Sus scrofa: one gene and its partners. The protein of the gene in region 5 interacts with the protein of the main gene of each other region in a pairwise test. Links are inferred from orthologs where the notes say so. Each region holds a gene or a part of one and is shown on either strand. Other genes may lie near its edges.

Region 1 (3,500 bases), on a different chromosome or scaffold from region 5:
GGGCCTTCCTGTTCTCCTCTTCAAACAGATGCCTGAAGATGGGGCCATCAGTGCTAGCAGCTCCCTTTCTCTACCCCATCCCACCCTCTCCATCTCTGCCTTACACCACAGCTGCTGCCTCCTGGCTGCGGAGGAAGAGCCCCTCAGTGATGGTTGAGCAGCCCTTGGCTCCAAACTGGGAACACAGACGATGCTTCACATCCTCCAGCTTTGCCTCCACCAACTTCTCTGTAGCAGGAAGGAACAGATGGGCAGGGTAGGGCAGGGCAGGGCAGCGCAGAGTTGATCTGGGCATCCCTTCTCCAGGCCTCACCTTCCTTGAGCAACTGTTCCTTGTTGCTGTCCAGGGCATCAATTTCCAGGGCCAGTTGCTCTGGCTTCTGAGGGGTAGAAAGATGGCCTGTCCACATCTCCCATGTGCTGCAGTGAAGCTGACCAAGATCTGGTCTTCCTTACTTCCTACTACTTTGGCCCTCCATGTATGCCAGGCACAGTCCAGCTTCAGGGCCTTTGCACTGGCCATTCCCTCTGCCTAGAGCTTTCACTCCAGATACCTAGGGTGCTGTGCTATGCTGGAGAGGCTCATGAGGTCATGAGTATTCAGGAATTAAACAAGGTTTGAAATCGGCCCTAGAATGAGTATTTACTACAGGAGATCCTGCAAACAGTACAAATCAAGGTTTTTCTTTTGAGAGTAAGTTACCACCCAGTAATGCAGCTCCTCCTCTTACCATCATGTGACCTCACTGAGCTCTTCCATCTGGACAGTCATTTTCTCTGCCTATTTTCTTGTTTGGGATCCCCAGATGCCTGCCCTGTGTCTGTGATGGCCCCAAATACATATATGGATCTCATTTTTGGGTGAGCCCTCCTTGGTTCATCGGGGTTCCTCATGACCACTTAAGGATACTTGGAGAGCATCAGGGATGGGTGGGCAGGTCTGGTGAAGAGGTCAGCAGCAGGTGGCAATGAGGGTGCTGCACAGCTGCCAGGGTTTGTACGGAACTAGGTGTGGAAGTACAGAGGAAGGAGGCCTGGAGAATTCCATTGGTTTGGGGCCTGGTGCTGCCGGGGGAGATGCGGAAGGTTGAAGGAGTGGCTGAGTGACTCACATGGAATTCCCAGAGGTCCTTATGCTGGCCCATCAGATCCTCCAGCTGTTCTTCAAAATCCAACCTGGAGATCAAGCACATAGGATGAGGGGCCGTGGGCTGAGAGACACCCCTCCCCAACCTTGCACAGCTAGGGCCTTCATGCACAGACCAGGGGGAGCTCACCCATGCTCTTCATGCTGCTGGGAACACCTTCTCCACTTTGACCCTCCAAGCTTCAGCTCGGCCAGCTACTCTTCTAACCTCCATTGCTGGTATAACTCCCACTGACAACCCAGCCCAGCCCATCAGGCTTCAGGTGATGGGCTTTACCTCAGCTTCCTCTGTTTGTTCTTTTCTTCCTCGATCTGGGAATTCAGGGCAGAAATTCGCTCCTTGCATTCCTGCAGCATGGTTTGCTTCCTGGCAAGAGTCAGCGCAGCCCTTCATCATGTTCTCTGAATGTCTCCCTACATTCAGGGGTTGGGGTAGGGCTTCTGCATCCTTCTCTTGAGGTCTGTTCTAGCCTTCTAGATTGAGGTCCATCTCTGTAACTTTGTAGGGGGACATGAGCACATGCCCCCAGGAAATGTCATTGTGAAGATTAGAGAGATCAGTGTGGGTCTGGTCAAATGCACAATCACACAGGTTAACCTCATGTGAATTTCTCTAACAGTTTCAATCTTGGTATGCTAGGGGCTTGGGGCTTCTGGTCACAAGATGAGCAAAATAAGCATTGAGGAGGTAGAGATCAATGCACAAATAGTTGGGTGGATGGAAGGATAATGGATGGAGAGATGGCTGGCTTGATGCCTTAAATGAAGGGACAGATAAGCGAACAAACAGCTGCTGTGGAAAGTATCAAAGGTACAGAATAAAAACCAGCTGAAGGAATTTAACATTCTAGCAAATGAGTGCTTATTCCAGGTGGGTGAGTGAGAGGGTATTCTTAACACTACTGCCCGCTGTTGCAGCCAAGATGGAAAGACCCTTATTTGGCCTCTCCATTTTACAGAGGGAGAAGATGAGAGCTGTGGGTCTAAAACTGATTTCACTTACTTTCTCTACCAGAATGAAGGGGTAGCTTGGAGCAGGGCCCAGGTAGAGGCTCTTACCTCTGTGCCTCACTTTCCTTCTCCTGGCAGTGGAGCCGGAGGATCCTCAGGGTCTCTGCAGAGAGAGGAAGTGAGGGGGCCATGAGAGCTCATCAAGGCATGAGGTTTGGGCAGAGGTAAAAGGGCCAGGTCATGTGGACACCGTATGGGACTGTCATTTACTGTGGTGGAATCCACAGGAGGGGTGCAAGGTGATTCAGGTTTCAAAAGGCTTCTATCACTATAGAGAGTAGGCTTATACAGGTTGGAAAAGGCAAAAACATGAAGACAGAACAGCTATAATTACCTTGCTTTTTGCTCAAGATCTCTTTCAGGCGTACTTTCTCTCCACTCACTGGAAAAAGTAACATGTTCAGGCATCAGGGACCATTCACTGCACCCCTGGGGACCAGGCCTGCGCACGGTCACATGGGCAGTTTCATACAGGCTTACCCCTGACCCCAAATGTGGACCCCCAAGGTGACCCTCTCCTCTCTTGTGCTGACACTCGCTATAAGCACTAGAGTCCTGAAGGTGATAAAGGGTGTCTGTGATGACTTTGTGGGATGCCAGTGTGTTTACATGAAAGGGAGAGAAAAAATAAGAAACACATCACATGAAGTGGGACAAGGACTGTGAAGAAATAACATCAAGCAGTAAGTGGCACGTGCCCAGGCAGGGACAGGGTGCTGTTTTTAGGTAACTGGGGAAGGCCTCTCTGAGCATACTTGAGCTGAGAGCTGAGGATGATGTGAGGCAACAGGAAGTGGTGGTATCTGGGGGGACTGTCTAGCCAAGGCCCTGAGGTAGAGGCATGCTTACAGAGTTTTTCAGGAACCTTCCCACCAACACAGTGGGAGGAGCAGGGATTAGAAGGATCTGAGGTTGAAGGGCAGGAGCCCTTGGTCACAGCCAAGAACGCAGACATCTGGAATACTGTGTTCAAAGCTGCATGACATTGTGTGGACCTCTGGGTGACCGGTGACAAGCTTACATGAGTCAAGTTCCTTTTGCAGGGTCTCCCAGACAGTCCGGGCCTCTCCCAGCTCTTCACTGGCTTTCTTTTTTGCTGTGCCAAAGAGTAAAACATTATTTAAGTGTCTTTTCCTTGCAAATATTTCACATTTGTCTTCAAGTAAACCTAAAGGGGCTCAGGCTTTACAGAGCAGGAAATGGGGCTTCCAGGAGCCTAAGCCCTTCCTGTTAGGTTCAGGTGGCAGCAGGGCCAGGTTAATAAACATGACTATAGCAGTTAGTATTTAGATGGACCAACCCATGCCTCATTTAATGCTCTGCTCTTTCAAAACACTTTGTA
Region 2 (3,500 bases), on a different chromosome or scaffold from region 5:
CATCCTTGTGTTGAGTTGGATCTTTTTCAGCAACCTGGTCTTTGGTTTGGGGTTCATATGTGGAAACAGGATCTAAAACTACAACTGGTTCAGCTTGTTTTTCACTGCCAATGTATTGTCTCCTGCATCCAGTGCTACTGGGAGGCCTAGGGGATGAACAGTTAAACAAAAAAATTAAAAGCAGAGAGAGAAAATATTTGTCTTTCATATTCCTCCATTCAGATGAGCAAAAAACCCAAAATGTTCTAAGTCTAATCAACATGCAAAAAGTGGTCTTTGAGGAGCCAGCCGTTAAAAAAAAAAAAAGAAGAAGAAGAAGAAGAAGAAGAGGCTATTAGATTACATATTAGGAGCACAAGGCCAGAAGAATGGCAGAAAAAGTCAGAGCAATTAACTTGCGGAAGTGTTAAAAGCCAAATGCACCTACCTGCTTAATTGCATGCTCTTCTCAGAGAAGCACAAAGCTCAGGGACACTGTGCATACCTCCCAATGCCTGCCGCCCCCAGACTCCCGTCCCACCCCCAGGCAGCTGGAAGGAGCCAGTTAACCCCTTGCTTGTGTCCCGGAGTCCATGTGGTTGCAGATTAGCTCTGAGGAGACTGCATCAAGGAGGGAAATTAATCACCCCCATCCCTGATGGACAGCTGAGAGGTGTGCCAGCTGCTGTCAACACTTGCAAGAGTAACTCTGGTCAGACCTAGGGAGGGATGACGGAAGGAACTAGGGCAGATAGGAGAATCCAGAGAATAAGTTGAAATGCTAAGTGACCATACACTTTTTCTACAAAGAATCATGTTTGAGAATTTTTTTTTTTTTTTTTTTTTTTTTTTTGCTTTTTAGGGCTACACCTGCAGCATAAGGAAGTTCCCAGACTAGGGGTCAAATCAGAGCTGCAGCTGCTGGCCTACGCCATAGCCATGCAGGATCTGTAACCTACACCACAGCTCATGGCCATGCTAGATCTTTAACCCACTGAGCAAGGTCAGGTATCAAACTTGCATCCTCATGGATACTAGTTGGGTTGGTAACTTGCTGAACCACAACAGGAACTTCCAAGAAATTTCTTACTAAATTTCAAATGCAGTTTCTTTTGCCATCAAGGTTTCCTCTCTTCTCTTCTGATCTAAGAAGCTACTGCTTCTCAAGCTGAAGGGGTGACAACTTCCTTGTAGAAACAGAGATGTCCTGAAATGTTCCTCACTTGCCATGTGCCAGGAAATTAGGCTGTGGGCACCTGTTCCTCTCAGAAGTCACTGGTCAGGAGCTACCATCTGAAGGTTGTGGACTGCTGACCTGATGCCTGGAGGTTAAGGGGTATGTAGTGGGCAGGGCAAGGGCTATTCAGACTCATCTGGTCTTCCTGGCAAATGCTAGATATCAACCATGATCAGCACACCCCTGTCCCACCTCCACCTCTGGATGTCAGGACATGTACTGGTGAACTGTTAGCCAGGGTCTGTCCACTGCTCTACCAGGCCCTTGCCAGGAGTTGATTTCTCCTATTCCCTGGCCCCTCGGTTAGATCTGCTGCTTAGATACTCTCTTACCGCCTAATACTTCTCCCTTGTTGGACTTACCACAGTTACAATTAAATAATGGCAATCAGTGGTTTAGCGTCTACCTCTTCAAATAAAATGTATGTGTCCACGAGATGGGCTGTTTAGGTTTGCTCACAGTTATACACCAGCACCCAGGGCAGATCCATTTGTGGAATAAACAGATGGAGTAAACTAATGAACTAACTGTGTTTGAAAGGCTCAGAATGAATACACAGAAACCAAGGTTTGATATGAGTAGGTATAGAGGTCTCTTATACAACAAAAGCAACAGAACCAGTGTTCAACTATTGAGACAAAGTGGCCTGCATGATCCAGCCACAGGTACCAAAAACTCAAACCCAGTGACGACAGTTTTATCACAAGTACTATGAGATTTGTCCAAATACTTGAAAACCACTCCCTAGGGCTATCCAGTTATACTCTGTGACCTGATCATCATTGATAAGTGACTACCACAAACTGTCTTCTTTGGAGGTGGTAAAAGCAAAGAGATGACCAGGAGCCTGAGAGGAAAGCTATAGTGTAGTGAGGACAGATTGCTTTATTTCTGCCTGCATTTGACGACACCCTTGTTATTAGAAAATACCGTGACACTGTCCATTCACCTTGGCCAAAGATCCACTACTCAAGATATCTGTCACTGTGCTTTGGGAATTAGTATGAGATATGGTTTCTCTGCTGCTACCTGCCTTAACTTTCTCTGATTCAGGCAACACCTAAAAGACTGAATCCATTAGGGCAGCGTCTGAGAACCAGAACTACCACAAATGGCCTAAGGGATTTATTAGAGGCAAGGAGAGAGCTAGTTGGACAGTTTATGTGAGGTTGCTGACTCTATGTATGATGCTGGGCCTGAAGTCAACGGTTCTTACAGCTGAAAAGGAAGATGGGTGGAAAGTGGCAAGAAGCTGAGGACAAACCAGAGCTGCATCTGTCTTTCACAACCTCCAATCCTGATGGTGAAGATGAGCTGCAGGGTCAGCTGGAACCCTTCCACATGAAATTGCACATGCACCTGGCCTAGAATTTGGGGAAGGTGGAGAAGATCGGGGGAGCCGGGGAGCCGGAGAAACTATGTGCTAACTAGGTGACAACGTGCATAAACTGTAATAGGGCCTGCCCTACACAGACCTTCAGAGAATTTTTTTTTTTTTTTTAAAGACTACTATGTCACTTCCATCTTCCAAATCTCATGCAAATTTTTCCTGTGGCCAACCCTAACCTGCAAGTAAATGGACAAGGGAATTCTAGGAAATGAAGCTCCAGCCAAGCTAAGCTGTTAGTCAAAGCTACACAAACTCTGCTGGTCAAGGCCCCAGTCTGGCTCTCCCACCCTGGGCTTGAGCCCACTGTATGTAAGCCAGCCAATCTGCTCTACACATGCAAAGGATCCATCTCATTCTAGGTGAGCAACTTCCATCAACCCATACTGACCTTCATCGCTTTTGTAGAACTACCATGGATGTTTTCATGGCCATGTGTGTCTGCAGGTGAAGGGGTGGTGAACACATCCTAAAAAGCTTTTCTTCATCAGCTGGAGGCTGAAAACTTCCAGGAAGTGCTCTCAGGGCTCCACAACAGCAACAAATAGGTGTTGATTGAACTGAAAACTCAGAAACTTTGTATTGCCAAGGCTGAAATTGTCCTGGAATTATCTCAGTCCAGAGTACTGCTGTTCTTTCCTGAAGTAAGCTTCTCGATAATAGAGGAATCTATTAAGTCACCTGTAGGCTCCAATTTGAGAACTCCTTTGTTGATTATCACTGAACTTGGCACAGTGGGAAATTTCTCTGAATCTATGTGTTGAGAGTGAGAGTAACTAGTGTCTTAAAGATAATGACCACTGACTTGGAACCCCAATGGGTTAAGGCTAAAAGGGATGGTGGCAATCATCCAGTCCAGCTGGTCCTTTTACAAATGAGGAAAATGAGGTGTGGAGA
Region 3 (3,500 bases), on a different chromosome or scaffold from region 5:
TAATTTGGGCCCACAAGCCAGGAGTGTTGAAGAGCCAGCAACAGGAATGCATGTCTGAAGGGAGGACCCAGCACTGTTCCACTTCTTAGAATCATCTCCCTGATACAATCTCTGCTTAGCACAGCTTTTTAAATGTCTGTTTCATAACAGCAAGCAGCTGCGAGGAGGCTCTGGCAGCCGGGCTCACCCTCACCTCCATCTCCTTCACCTTCAGCTCCTCCATCTGCTGGCGCAGCGCCTCCGCCTGCAGTTTACCCTCCAGCTGCCTCCTTTCCTCTTCAGCCTTCATCCGTGCTAGCGCTTCCCGTCGGGCCCTTTCGTATTCATTTTCATATCGTTTTTCCTTTTCCTCTTCAGCGGCTTCTTGCTGCACAGAGCCAAAGGAACCCGGGGTCAGGGTCTACAGCACAGAGTCAGCAAAGACCCAGCTCCCCACCCACCAATCAGCAGGCCTCAGGGCCTGCTCCTCATTCTGCACATCTACACCCAAGGAGGCTATACCCTTAGCTGTGTGGCCCAGGCAAGGGTGTCTTCCTGAGCTCGGTTCTCACTGTGGGAACCGTGGGAGTGGTGCCGTCCTCAGGGATGAAGCTGGGAGGCTTTTGGCTTGGTGCCTGGCACAAGGATGCCAGGGTTCCTCCCTTTCCACACGTCAACAAAACACCTTCCAGAACGAACCCCAAGATAAAGCGGTGGGTCCATGGAAGAGTGGACTTTCATCCCCAGGGGTGCTGCTGTAAACCACGTCTGAGAATTTAGGATGTAAACTACATGAAAATAGGGCACCAGCAACAAAAACAACCCTCAAGGATGCATGTTGCATCTACCATCAGCCAGTCCTGGTCACTTGGTCTTACTCTGCCTCTGGGAGTGACCACAGACGAGTCTAGTTTGTGTAAGAGCAACAAATATTCAGTTTTAACATGTGTTAAGTAAACAAGGAAAAGTCTATTCCTGGATTGGAATCATTAACATTGAAAACAAGAAACAAATTCAAAGACATGGAGACAGTCTCCCACCACATACCATACCTGTTTTTTTTCCTCTTTCTGCATTTCCCAAGAGTTTATCACATGCTTCTTGTGAAGGTCCAGTTCAATCTGAGGATGAGAATGTGGAGAATATGAACGTCCCCACTGGTTCATCAGACAGAGAGATATTCAAGCATAGCACAGCTCTGGTTATGGCCAGGTGTCTTTATAAGGAATTGCACGGTGACCCTGACATACAGTTGAATGCAAGTGAATCAGAAAGCCAAAGGGCCAGGCACTTGTAAATCATCTCAAGAACTGGAACAAAGTAGCAGAAACTTTTTTCCCAGTACCCTTGGGGCTGAGCAGGACCGGGTCAGTAGGCAATGAAATGGAAATTCAATCTCAAAGGCCACCCCAGTTGGTCTAAAGCTTGCCAGGCCCCAGGGCAGCAGGAGCTGGGTGAGGAGCAGGCTCAACCCTTGGCCTGGCTCCCCAGCACTCCCTCTGCAAAGCAGCAGCTGTAAAAACATGCACGCTCTGAAGCAAGAGATGCAACAAATTCAGGGTTATTAATAAGAGATTTGGGTTTAAAGAATCTTTTGAATCAGGAAACAACACTGTCTGAAAGCTCTTGTTTTGAGAAATTGTTTATAAAAGTTTTAAATTTATTTCTTATAGATGGAAACATTTGCAACTAACTTGAATGTTTTGAATAAACTTTGAGTACATGACTTTGGAGGTTCTGCTTTAATCTATAAGCCACGGGGAGAGGAGTCCTCTGTGGCGTAGTGCTAACCATACAATACTCCAGAACATTCTATTACCTGTGACTGGCAATTTTTAAATGTAGTTATGCTTTATAAGTTAATACCACCAAACATACACACAAACTAAGCTGAAATAAACTAATCTTCATCATGGGATTGTTTCTCTCTAGCCCAGTCTCTGCTGAGTGCTGTCACCCAAACCTAAACGCCTCCCTCTCCTTGCACTGAGGTCTGTGCCTCTGTCCCCCTTTCTCCTGCCACCTCAGTTCTGGCCTTCACATCACTCACCTGGGCTGTGGCAGCAATCCTTCAATTGATATCACCCCTTCTGGCCCACCTCAACAGTGCTGCCAAAGCTGCTGTTCTCCAAAATGCAGCTGGACCCATTTAAAATCATGCAGACCCTCCCCAACGCTCCCAGAGGAAGGACACACAAGGCCATCTGTGGTGGCCCTGTCTGCCTACCCAGCATGAGACTCAGTTCTTGGGGTTCACCCTCCCTGTCTGACGTCCCAGCCTCTCAGCCACTTGTAGCTCAAGGTGGCTGGAGGGTTTTGTCTCACTCCAGCACAAAACGCAAGTTTAAAAACAAGGTGGGGAGCTCCTGTCGTGGTGCAGTGGAAACGAACCGGACTAGGAACCATGAGGTTTTGGGTTTGATCCCTGGCCTTGCTCAGTGGGTTAAGGATCTGGCATTGCCATGAGCTGTGGTGTAGGTCGCAAACGAAGCTGGGATCCTGCATTGCTGTGACACAGGCCAGCAGCTACAGCTCCGACTGGCCCCTAGCCAGGGAACCTCCATATGCTACAAGTGCGGCCCTAAAAAGACAAAAGACAAAAAACAAAAACAAACAAACAAAAAAAAAAACAAGACAGGAAACATGATTTCATTGACTTAGGCAAATCAATGGAAGGGGCTCCTCAGTTTTCACCTCTCGAAGTTGGGGGTTGTTCTTTTTCCAGTGTTCATACAGAAGTTGTTCAGCAATCTGTCAAGGAAATACAAAGCGGGAGGCCTGATGTCATTTTTCCAATCCATTCACATTTCGGATAACCCATGTGGAAGTCAACTCAGGTAAGAGTGCCCTACTGGCGCCAGCACTGCACCGCCCTGCAGACCTCCCACGTGCCTTGTGCCCACAGTGCTGGAAACCAGACACTGCCTGGAACTGCAGGGCCCTGACAAGTGACTCTTACAGGGTGGCCAAAGGGGGCCCAAATCTGATGCTGCAGATGGGTCCTAGATGCTAAAGATCTGTTTCAAACTAAACAGAGATTGGGCTTACCACAACACACGACTACTGTGGAGGATAAAATACACCAGTCCAAGCCCTTTGTGGGACCACAAAACTGGCATAAAGAAAAAGGACTCAGACCTAACAGTTTAAGGGGCCAAAGAGAATAGAGATGTCTCGTAGGAAACACACATGAAGAAGAACTCAGAGCAAGCACTTCTCTTGGCTGGCTCTGGAACGAGCTCTTATCAGGTGACCCCACATGGTCTCACTGTGACTCCTGCTCTGAAGCCTCCTAAAGAGTTTCTCAAAGTTACCAGTTTCCTTTGCTCTTCTCGGGCCGACTTCAGATTCCCATGCCGCTCCCGGATTCTCCTTTCCCTCAAGTTCATGCTCAGCCTCAGTTCCTCTAGTTCTCTGACTAGCAGGTCCTGCTCCTCCAGCAGAAGCTGTCTGAGTCTCTGCCGTCTGGCTTCCAGACGCTTTCTCCCCTCCTCCTTCATCTTCTCCCGCTGGTAGGCATG
Region 4 (3,080 bases), on a different chromosome or scaffold from region 5:
GTTCCGGCCATGGCACAGTGGAAACAAATCCAACTAGGAATCATGAGGTTGCAGGTTCGATCCCTGGCCTCATTCAGTGGGTTAAGGATCCGGTGTTGCCGTGAATTGTGGTGTAGGTCTCAGACTCGGATCTGGCGTTGCTGTGGCTCTGGCGTAGGCCGGCAGCAACAGCTCTGATTCGACCCCTGCCTGGGAACCTCCATATGTCCCAGGTGTGTGTCTAAAAAGACAAAAAAAGACAAAAAAAAAAAGATATGCAGGCAGTAAAATTAACTGACTTGGTAATAGATTAGGCCAAAGGAATCAGGGAGAGGAAATGAGAGGTATGATGTCACACCCAGTCTCTGGTTTTCAGAATTAGATGGCTGGGGAGTGGTGCCATTAACTTGGGAAGGGAATACAGAGAAAGAACTACAGTTTGGGAGGAGCAGAAGGGAGAGGGACACTGGCCGAGGTCCACATTTGAGGAAGTTTTTTTTAAAGACTTCAAATCCATTTCGTTTGGTTTTTCAGTATTTTATTATGGCACACAGGATAGAGTATGATACAGTGCTCTTACTTCAAGTAATTCTCAAATCAACCAGTCATTTCCATTCGGCTAAAGTTACATTTTTACATGTCATTTGCATCTGTCTGACATTTACCACGAGCAGCATCCCATGTTTAATGAATATAATTATGAAAAGCTTGGTTTCTGAGGCAACTCCTAGTCTTTGCAGAAGCCAGTGTGCCAAGAATCCTCAGAGTTCAAATCCATAGCATCATGGTAGATGAAGAAATATTTCACCTCTTTGCTTTAGTGACATATATTTAACTAGAAATGCATACTGTGATGGGATCAGATAACTTTAAATGGAGACCACCTGGCTTTCAGATTAAATTCATGACCTTTAAAAACTGCCTAAACAACAAACATTGAGTGAAAATAAGCTGACAAAGCAATGGAGTAAGAACAAAAGCAAAACAGCAAATAATCAGTAATTTCATCGATATTCCACATCAAAGGCAAGTGCAAGAGCTTTCATAACTTAACAGTGAACAGGAAGGATGGATGGGGTATGTATTTGATGCAATATCCAACCAGTTAGAGTTATCATTGAAATCCAAATATTTTCCAATATAAGACATGCGGAGCAATGGCAATGTAACACACAAGTATATAATCCCCCCTTTAGTGATGGGTGACAATTTCGTTATCTGTATTTATAGTTCTTAAAACATTTAAAATAGGTGGCATTAAAGGCTATTTACTTGAGGCGAAAGAATTAAGCTAACAACACACTCAAAAATGAGCTCAGGATTGCAGGCAACATTTGCAATGGCAAATCAACTTTGCTCTTCTTACTCCATCCAAAATTATACATTGACCAAAAATCATTCCTTCTGATTCTGTAACTTGCTTGGGTTTCAACATCTGCTCCTGATATTTTGAGTATATTTTTAAAATGTAGTTATAGTGATGGATGGCTTGGATTCATATTCTATCCATCTTGCATTTATTATTACATACTAGTGTTAAAGTTACCTGTTTACCATAAAGGGTATATTTATCACATAACTTCAGAATTGCCTCCAAGAAAGCCATTCCCAACATTATATAGAAAATTACAGGGCAAAGCATATTGCTATTTATAAAAGAAAAGTGGGTTTCCCTTTTACTTGAATTTATTATTAGTAAAATTTTTGAGGGAAGATTTCATGAATAGTCATGACCTAATTGTATCCTCAGAAGAACCAATTAATGGGGGGAAATGCATTATAATTACTAAAATTTTGATTTAAAAAATTTGGAGGGGAAGAGTCCATTTCTGTGTGTCTTACATTGGTGCCCTCTTTAAGACATTGGAATTAAGTCAACAGCCACAGCAAGGAATGTCATTCAGTGTAACTTTATTTACTATTTATTGCACATAATTTGAGGTCTTTAATTTCTAACCACCAAAGTTTCAAAGGACTATTTTTTCTATGAAGTTTAACATTAACATTAGTGAATTCATTTATTCATTTTTTTAAATTGTAAACATCTGAATTATTCACATTGCCATAGATCCTGAACTCATAAGCGTGGACCATGCACAGGCTGGCAGCAAGCCAGGAAGCCACTCTGCAAGCAAACAGATACTCTGCATAAGGAGAAAAGTCATAGCACAACATTTAATGTCCAACCTAAGTCATCTCAGAATTATACATATATTGACTTCTTAATTCATATAGTATCTGCAACTCAACTGGTTGGTTGGTGATGGGGTTGACCTGATTTCGGGAGAATTATTCCTGGAATAAATAAGGGAAGTGGGGCTCAATCTTTCTTCTTAGTTGCTTGCTCCTCCCCAGCACCTTCATCTTTTTTCTCCTCCTCCTCGGCTTCTTTGGTTTCTTCTCCTTCTTCACCTTCACCTCCTTCTTCTTCCTCCTTTGCTTCCTCAGATTCTTCCTTGGCAGCTTTAACATAAAAAGAAAATGTACAAACTCCGAATGCAGGGTGAGTCCAATCAAAATATTTCAGCTAAGGTTTGGTGGAGAAACATAAATGTCAGAATCCTTCCCCCAAACCTCTCCGCTCCTCGGTCCCAAAATGCATGCAACCTACAATGCTTGCTGAGAATAATTTGACACCAAACACCTATTTAAACCGCATGAGATTAAGTCTATGTACTGGGAGCTCTGCTCTTCTCCAGGACCTTGGTTTTTCTTTTATTCTGTGTTTGGTATTCATTTTTGTTCTTTAGGACACCAAACTGCTGAGTTAAATGAATAGATTTTAAAATGTTTAATTAGGAATAAAAGGACAGCAGGAAGAGAATTTTTTAATGTTATTTTCAAAAAAAGTACCAAGCTAATCAGAGATGTGTGTCTCTGGGAGAACAGCCAAGTTGAGAAATGAGGTACCTACTAAAGATTTGTGGACTAAATAGATAAATGTATTATTTAAGATTCTGAACTCACAAATGAATACAACTTCCTTGAGTAAGGCTCCATTCATCTTACCCACCTCCTGACACATTTTCAGGCTGCACCTGAAGGTGTAGGGTGGTTTTTGTTTTGTTTTAATCCTACCTTCTTCTTCTTCTTCTTGGGCA
Region 5 (3,500 bases):
ATACAAGATCCAAATTACCAAACAGATCCACCTGCAAAAGGGGTTGTCAATGAAGGGACATAAAGTGGGACTCTTTGAGTTCAATCTTCTTCTATTTGGCTTTTCGTAGAGATAACAGTAATGAACAGCACTCAACAACGGTAACATATTTATGATCATGATCATCTTTGTCTATAGCCACTTGCTGATTATTGCTTAGTCCAAAACATGAATAATCCCACTTCAGTTTTCTAACTAAAAAAATAACTTCAGAGTTCCCAATGTGGTGCAGCAGAAACGAATCCGACTAATAACCATGAGGTTGCCGGTTTGATCACTGGCTTCGCTCAGCGGGTTAAGGATCTGGCCTTGCTGTGAGCTGTGGCATAGGTCGCAGAGGCGACTCGGATCCCATGTTGCTGAGGCTGTGGTGTAGGCCGGCAGCTGTAGCTCTGATTGGACCCCTAGCCTGGAAACCTCCATATGCCATGGGTGTGGCCCTAAAAAAAAAAAAAGAAAAAGAAAAATAATAATTTCTATTAAAAATAAAGGTACAAAAGTATCTTCTTATATTGGAATTACAATATCAAAATAAAAAGGATGTATTTTTAAAAGTAACTACAAAAAAGGCAATCCTTTTCCTCTCCCTAGCCCACCTTCATCCTGTTACCCGCTTTTAAGTGAAGAAAGGTTCATTTACCATTTCAACAGATCCATCCCCTGGGTAAAATAAAAGCTCATAACGTCGAAATAGTGAAGCATTTGGATCATACCACTCTGCAATGAAAACGAATCTTTCACTGTGATTCTGCAAAGAGAAGAATTTTAACATGAACATATAAAATATAAGGACTCAAAGTCATACAAATTTAAAGAATCAGTAAATATTTGCAACAAATCTGTTACTACTTATTATATTGAATAATTCTTGTCATACTGAATAGAATTTCAACAATATTACCAGCTATCAAAACACTCAGAAATATTCCTTCTAATTTCTTTTTAAATATCCTTAGATATCTCAAAGATGACATATGAGCTGCTTAATACTTCATGGCCATCCAACCATCCTGAGTAAAATGACAGTTTTTTAGAACATCAACTCCTGATCTGACTACTGTGATAGTTCAGTCCTTCTGAAAGCAAGTTTACACATAGGCAGATGATCAATAAACTAGCATGGGAAAAAAAAATTTCTGAGAGGCTACCCCTAAATTACATGAAGTGTTAACTGACCTAACTTTAAGAATCCAGTCGTATTAGAATATTGTTGTCATTCAATTATAGTAAGTATCTTTTCTCTCCTTAGTAATTTCACATGATAGTATCTTTTACAGAAATAGAGGGAGAATGTGCTAGTCTAGATCCTCCAAGAAGCAGACAAGATGCCAAGATGGGATTAAACATGCAAGAATTTTATTCCTGTAAAAGAAATTCTGTATGGAAAGTTGCTGCAAGGGAAAATAGGGAGGGATCCAGGGGAAGCTGGCAGACCACCATACGAATCTGACCTTGAGGGAAGGAGAGAGAGAAGGAAGGCTGGGTGAAATCCTCCTGGATTGCTAGACAGTCCAAGGAAGGTTCAGTAAGACCATCGGGGAGTGCTCAAGCCAAGAGCCCTCAGATAGTTCCTTGACTCCACAGAGGAGAAGCCTGCTTTAGTAACTCTGCTCCTCTCAGTCACCGAGTGAGCCCTGGGGGAGCATGTGCTAGGTAGAAAAGCAGCAGTAGATTTCAGAGCACAGTAGCTGAGGACCTTTGGTCATTTTGCTACCTCTAGCTGAAGATATGTGAGGTACATACAATGAAAACATAAGTCAAAGATTGGCCCTCTTCCCTCGTCTAGTGAAGGATTTCCCATCCTATGTTATTAATAATATCTTAGCCCTCAAAGATCCCTCATCAAGATAAGCAAATGAAGACACAGGAAGAAAATCTAAGTGTTTTGTTGCTAATTCTGGATTTAGAATTCGATTCTCTGGTTAGGGTATATGAATGGATTCCTTTCATGTTAATAATACACTTACAAATTCTAATAGTAGTATATCTAGTTATATTTATGATATATACTCATCAGCTACAATGTAGGTAGTTTTTAAGACACTCTTTTATTTTTTTCTCATAATCATCCAAAAAGAAACATTTTTTCACTTTTTTTTATATATAATGTTTTTTGGGTTTTTTTAATTATAACTGGTTTGGGAATTTCCAAAATGACACATTTAAACAATGCTTATTAGTCAAGAGAAAATAAAAATGAGATATACTATGACAAGCCTTTCTTCATTTACTATTTTCATTGATCCTTATAAATACAGTTTTTTTATTTTTATTCTTTCAATACAGGTTTTCAAAATGTAGGTTTCACTGTGCATTTTAGTATTGTACTCCCCTTTTAATAAATTTAAATATTAGTAGTTCATTAAAATTTTACTATCTATATTAAAATTTTTTTAATGTTTCTCACATTATTCTCCATCATGTCCCATCACAAGTGACTAGATATAGTTCCCTGTGCAGGAACCCATCACTTATCCATTCTAAATATAATAGTTTGCATCTACTAACCCCAAACTCCCAGTCCATCCCACTCCCTCCCCCTTCCCCTTGGCAATCACAAGTCTGTATTCTATGTCCATGAGTTTGTTTCTCTTCTATGGAAAGATTCATTTGTGCCATATATTAGATTCCAGATATAAGTGATATGTGGTATTTGTCTTTCTGACTTACTTAGTATGAGAGTCTCTAGTTCTATCCATGTTGCTGCAGATGGCACTATTTTGCTCTTTTTTATGGAATTTGCTCAAAAATATCATTGAAATATTGCCTTCACTAAAATAAATAATATATGAGATGGATGAAATGGTGAGACATCTAAGCGAAGGTAAAAGGAGCTCCCATGGTGGCACAGTGGAAACAAATCCGACCAGGAACCATGAGGTTGCAGGTTCGATCCTTGGCCTTGCTCAGTGGGTTAAGGATCTGGCATTGCTGTGGCTCTGGTGTAGGCCAGTGACAACAGCTCCAATTAAATCCCTAGCCTGGGAACTTCCATATGCCGCGGGTGAGGTCTTAAAAAAGACAAAAGACAAAAATAATAATAATAAAAGGGCAAAGAGAGTGAAGCAAATGAAAAACCAATGAAATCTGGCACTTCCAGTTTTCCAGGCAGCTTAACCATAAAATCTGCCAATCACCCTTTAATTCTGAGGCAGACAGAAGAATTTCTCATGATTGGTTATCCAGAAAATAATATAAAGATGATAAACTGAGGAATTACTATTCTAGTTGACAATGTAGCTTATAGCAAATCAATGCTACTATCCAAGAACAACTAGAGAAGTGAGATATTTTTAAAAATCTGTTTGATGACCTTGGAGAGCATTTGAAGCAGCCAGATTTGATGATCTAGATTAAGAAAGACTAGATCTCACTGAGGTTAGCATGGCATTCGTCACGTTGCTTTTACATGAGACTCAAGCTGAATGAGAGACTGAGAAGCTCAAGAAGCTGGTAGAGGA

The links. The genes of interacting proteins can lie anywhere in the genome.
Region 1: the proteins of NME7 (region 5) and SYCE1 interact in binary tests that used the Homo sapiens proteins (3 or more experiments, as listed by UniProt). The two-hybrid records come from large-scale screens. The link is inferred for Sus scrofa from reciprocal best matches to the Homo sapiens genes NME7 and SYCE1.
Region 2: the proteins of NME7 (region 5) and SHTN1 interact in binary tests that used the Homo sapiens proteins (3 or more experiments, as listed by UniProt). The two-hybrid records come from large-scale screens. The link is inferred for Sus scrofa from reciprocal best matches to the Homo sapiens genes NME7 and SHTN1.
Region 3: the proteins of NME7 (region 5) and TCHP interact in binary tests that used the Homo sapiens proteins (3 or more experiments, as listed by UniProt). The two-hybrid records come from large-scale screens. The link is inferred for Sus scrofa from reciprocal best matches to the Homo sapiens genes NME7 and TCHP.
Region 4: the proteins of NME7 (region 5) and NEFL interact in binary tests that used the Homo sapiens proteins (3 or more experiments, as listed by UniProt). The two-hybrid records come from large-scale screens. The link is inferred for Sus scrofa from reciprocal best matches to the Homo sapiens genes NME7 and NEFL.

What each region holds. Positions count from the first base shown.
Region 1 is NC_010456.5:141,727,831-141,731,330, forward strand, and holds part of SYCE1 (synaptonemal complex central element protein 1), read right to left. Parts: intron 3,255-3,500; coding exon 3,180-3,254; intron 2,541-3,179; coding exon 2,493-2,540; intron 2,262-2,492; coding exon 2,207-2,261; intron 1,515-2,206; coding exon 1,425-1,514; intron 1,177-1,424; coding exon 1,113-1,176; intron 381-1,112; coding exon 314-380; intron 229-313; coding exon 105-228; intron 33-104; coding exon 1-32. UniProt on the Homo sapiens protein: Major component of the transverse central element of synaptonemal complexes (SCS), formed between homologous chromosomes during meiotic prophase. Requires SYCP1 in order to be incorporated into the central element.
Region 2 is NC_010456.5:127,067,123-127,070,622, forward strand, and holds part of SHTN1 (shootin-1), read right to left. Parts: intron 147-3,500; coding exon 1-146. UniProt on the Homo sapiens protein: Involved in the generation of internal asymmetric signals required for neuronal polarization and neurite outgrowth.
Region 3 is NC_010456.5:41,071,145-41,074,644, forward strand, and holds part of TCHP (trichoplein keratin filament-binding protein), read right to left. Parts: coding exon 3,294-3,500; intron 2,731-3,293; coding exon 2,674-2,730; intron 1,101-2,673; coding exon 1,032-1,100; intron 368-1,031; coding exon 194-367; intron 1-193. UniProt on the Homo sapiens protein: Tumor suppressor which has the ability to inhibit cell growth and be pro-apoptotic during cell stress. Inhibits cell growth in bladder and prostate cancer cells by a down-regulation of HSPB1 by inhibiting its phosphorylation.
Region 4 is NC_010456.5:8,990,821-8,993,900, forward strand, and holds the end of NEFL (neurofilament light polypeptide), read right to left. Parts: coding exon 3,058-3,080; intron 2,443-3,057; coding exon 2,300-2,442; 3' UTR 501-2,299; downstream 1-500. UniProt on the Homo sapiens protein: Neurofilaments usually contain three intermediate filament proteins: NEFL, NEFM, and NEFH which are involved in the maintenance of neuronal caliber.
Region 5 is NC_010446.5:81,691,907-81,695,406, reverse strand, and holds part of NME7 (nucleoside diphosphate kinase 7), read right to left. Parts: intron 788-3,500; coding exon 680-787; intron 1-679. UniProt on the Homo sapiens protein: Possesses an intrinsic kinase activity. Displays 3'-5' exonuclease activity with a preference for single-stranded DNA. Does not seem to have nucleoside diphosphate kinase activity.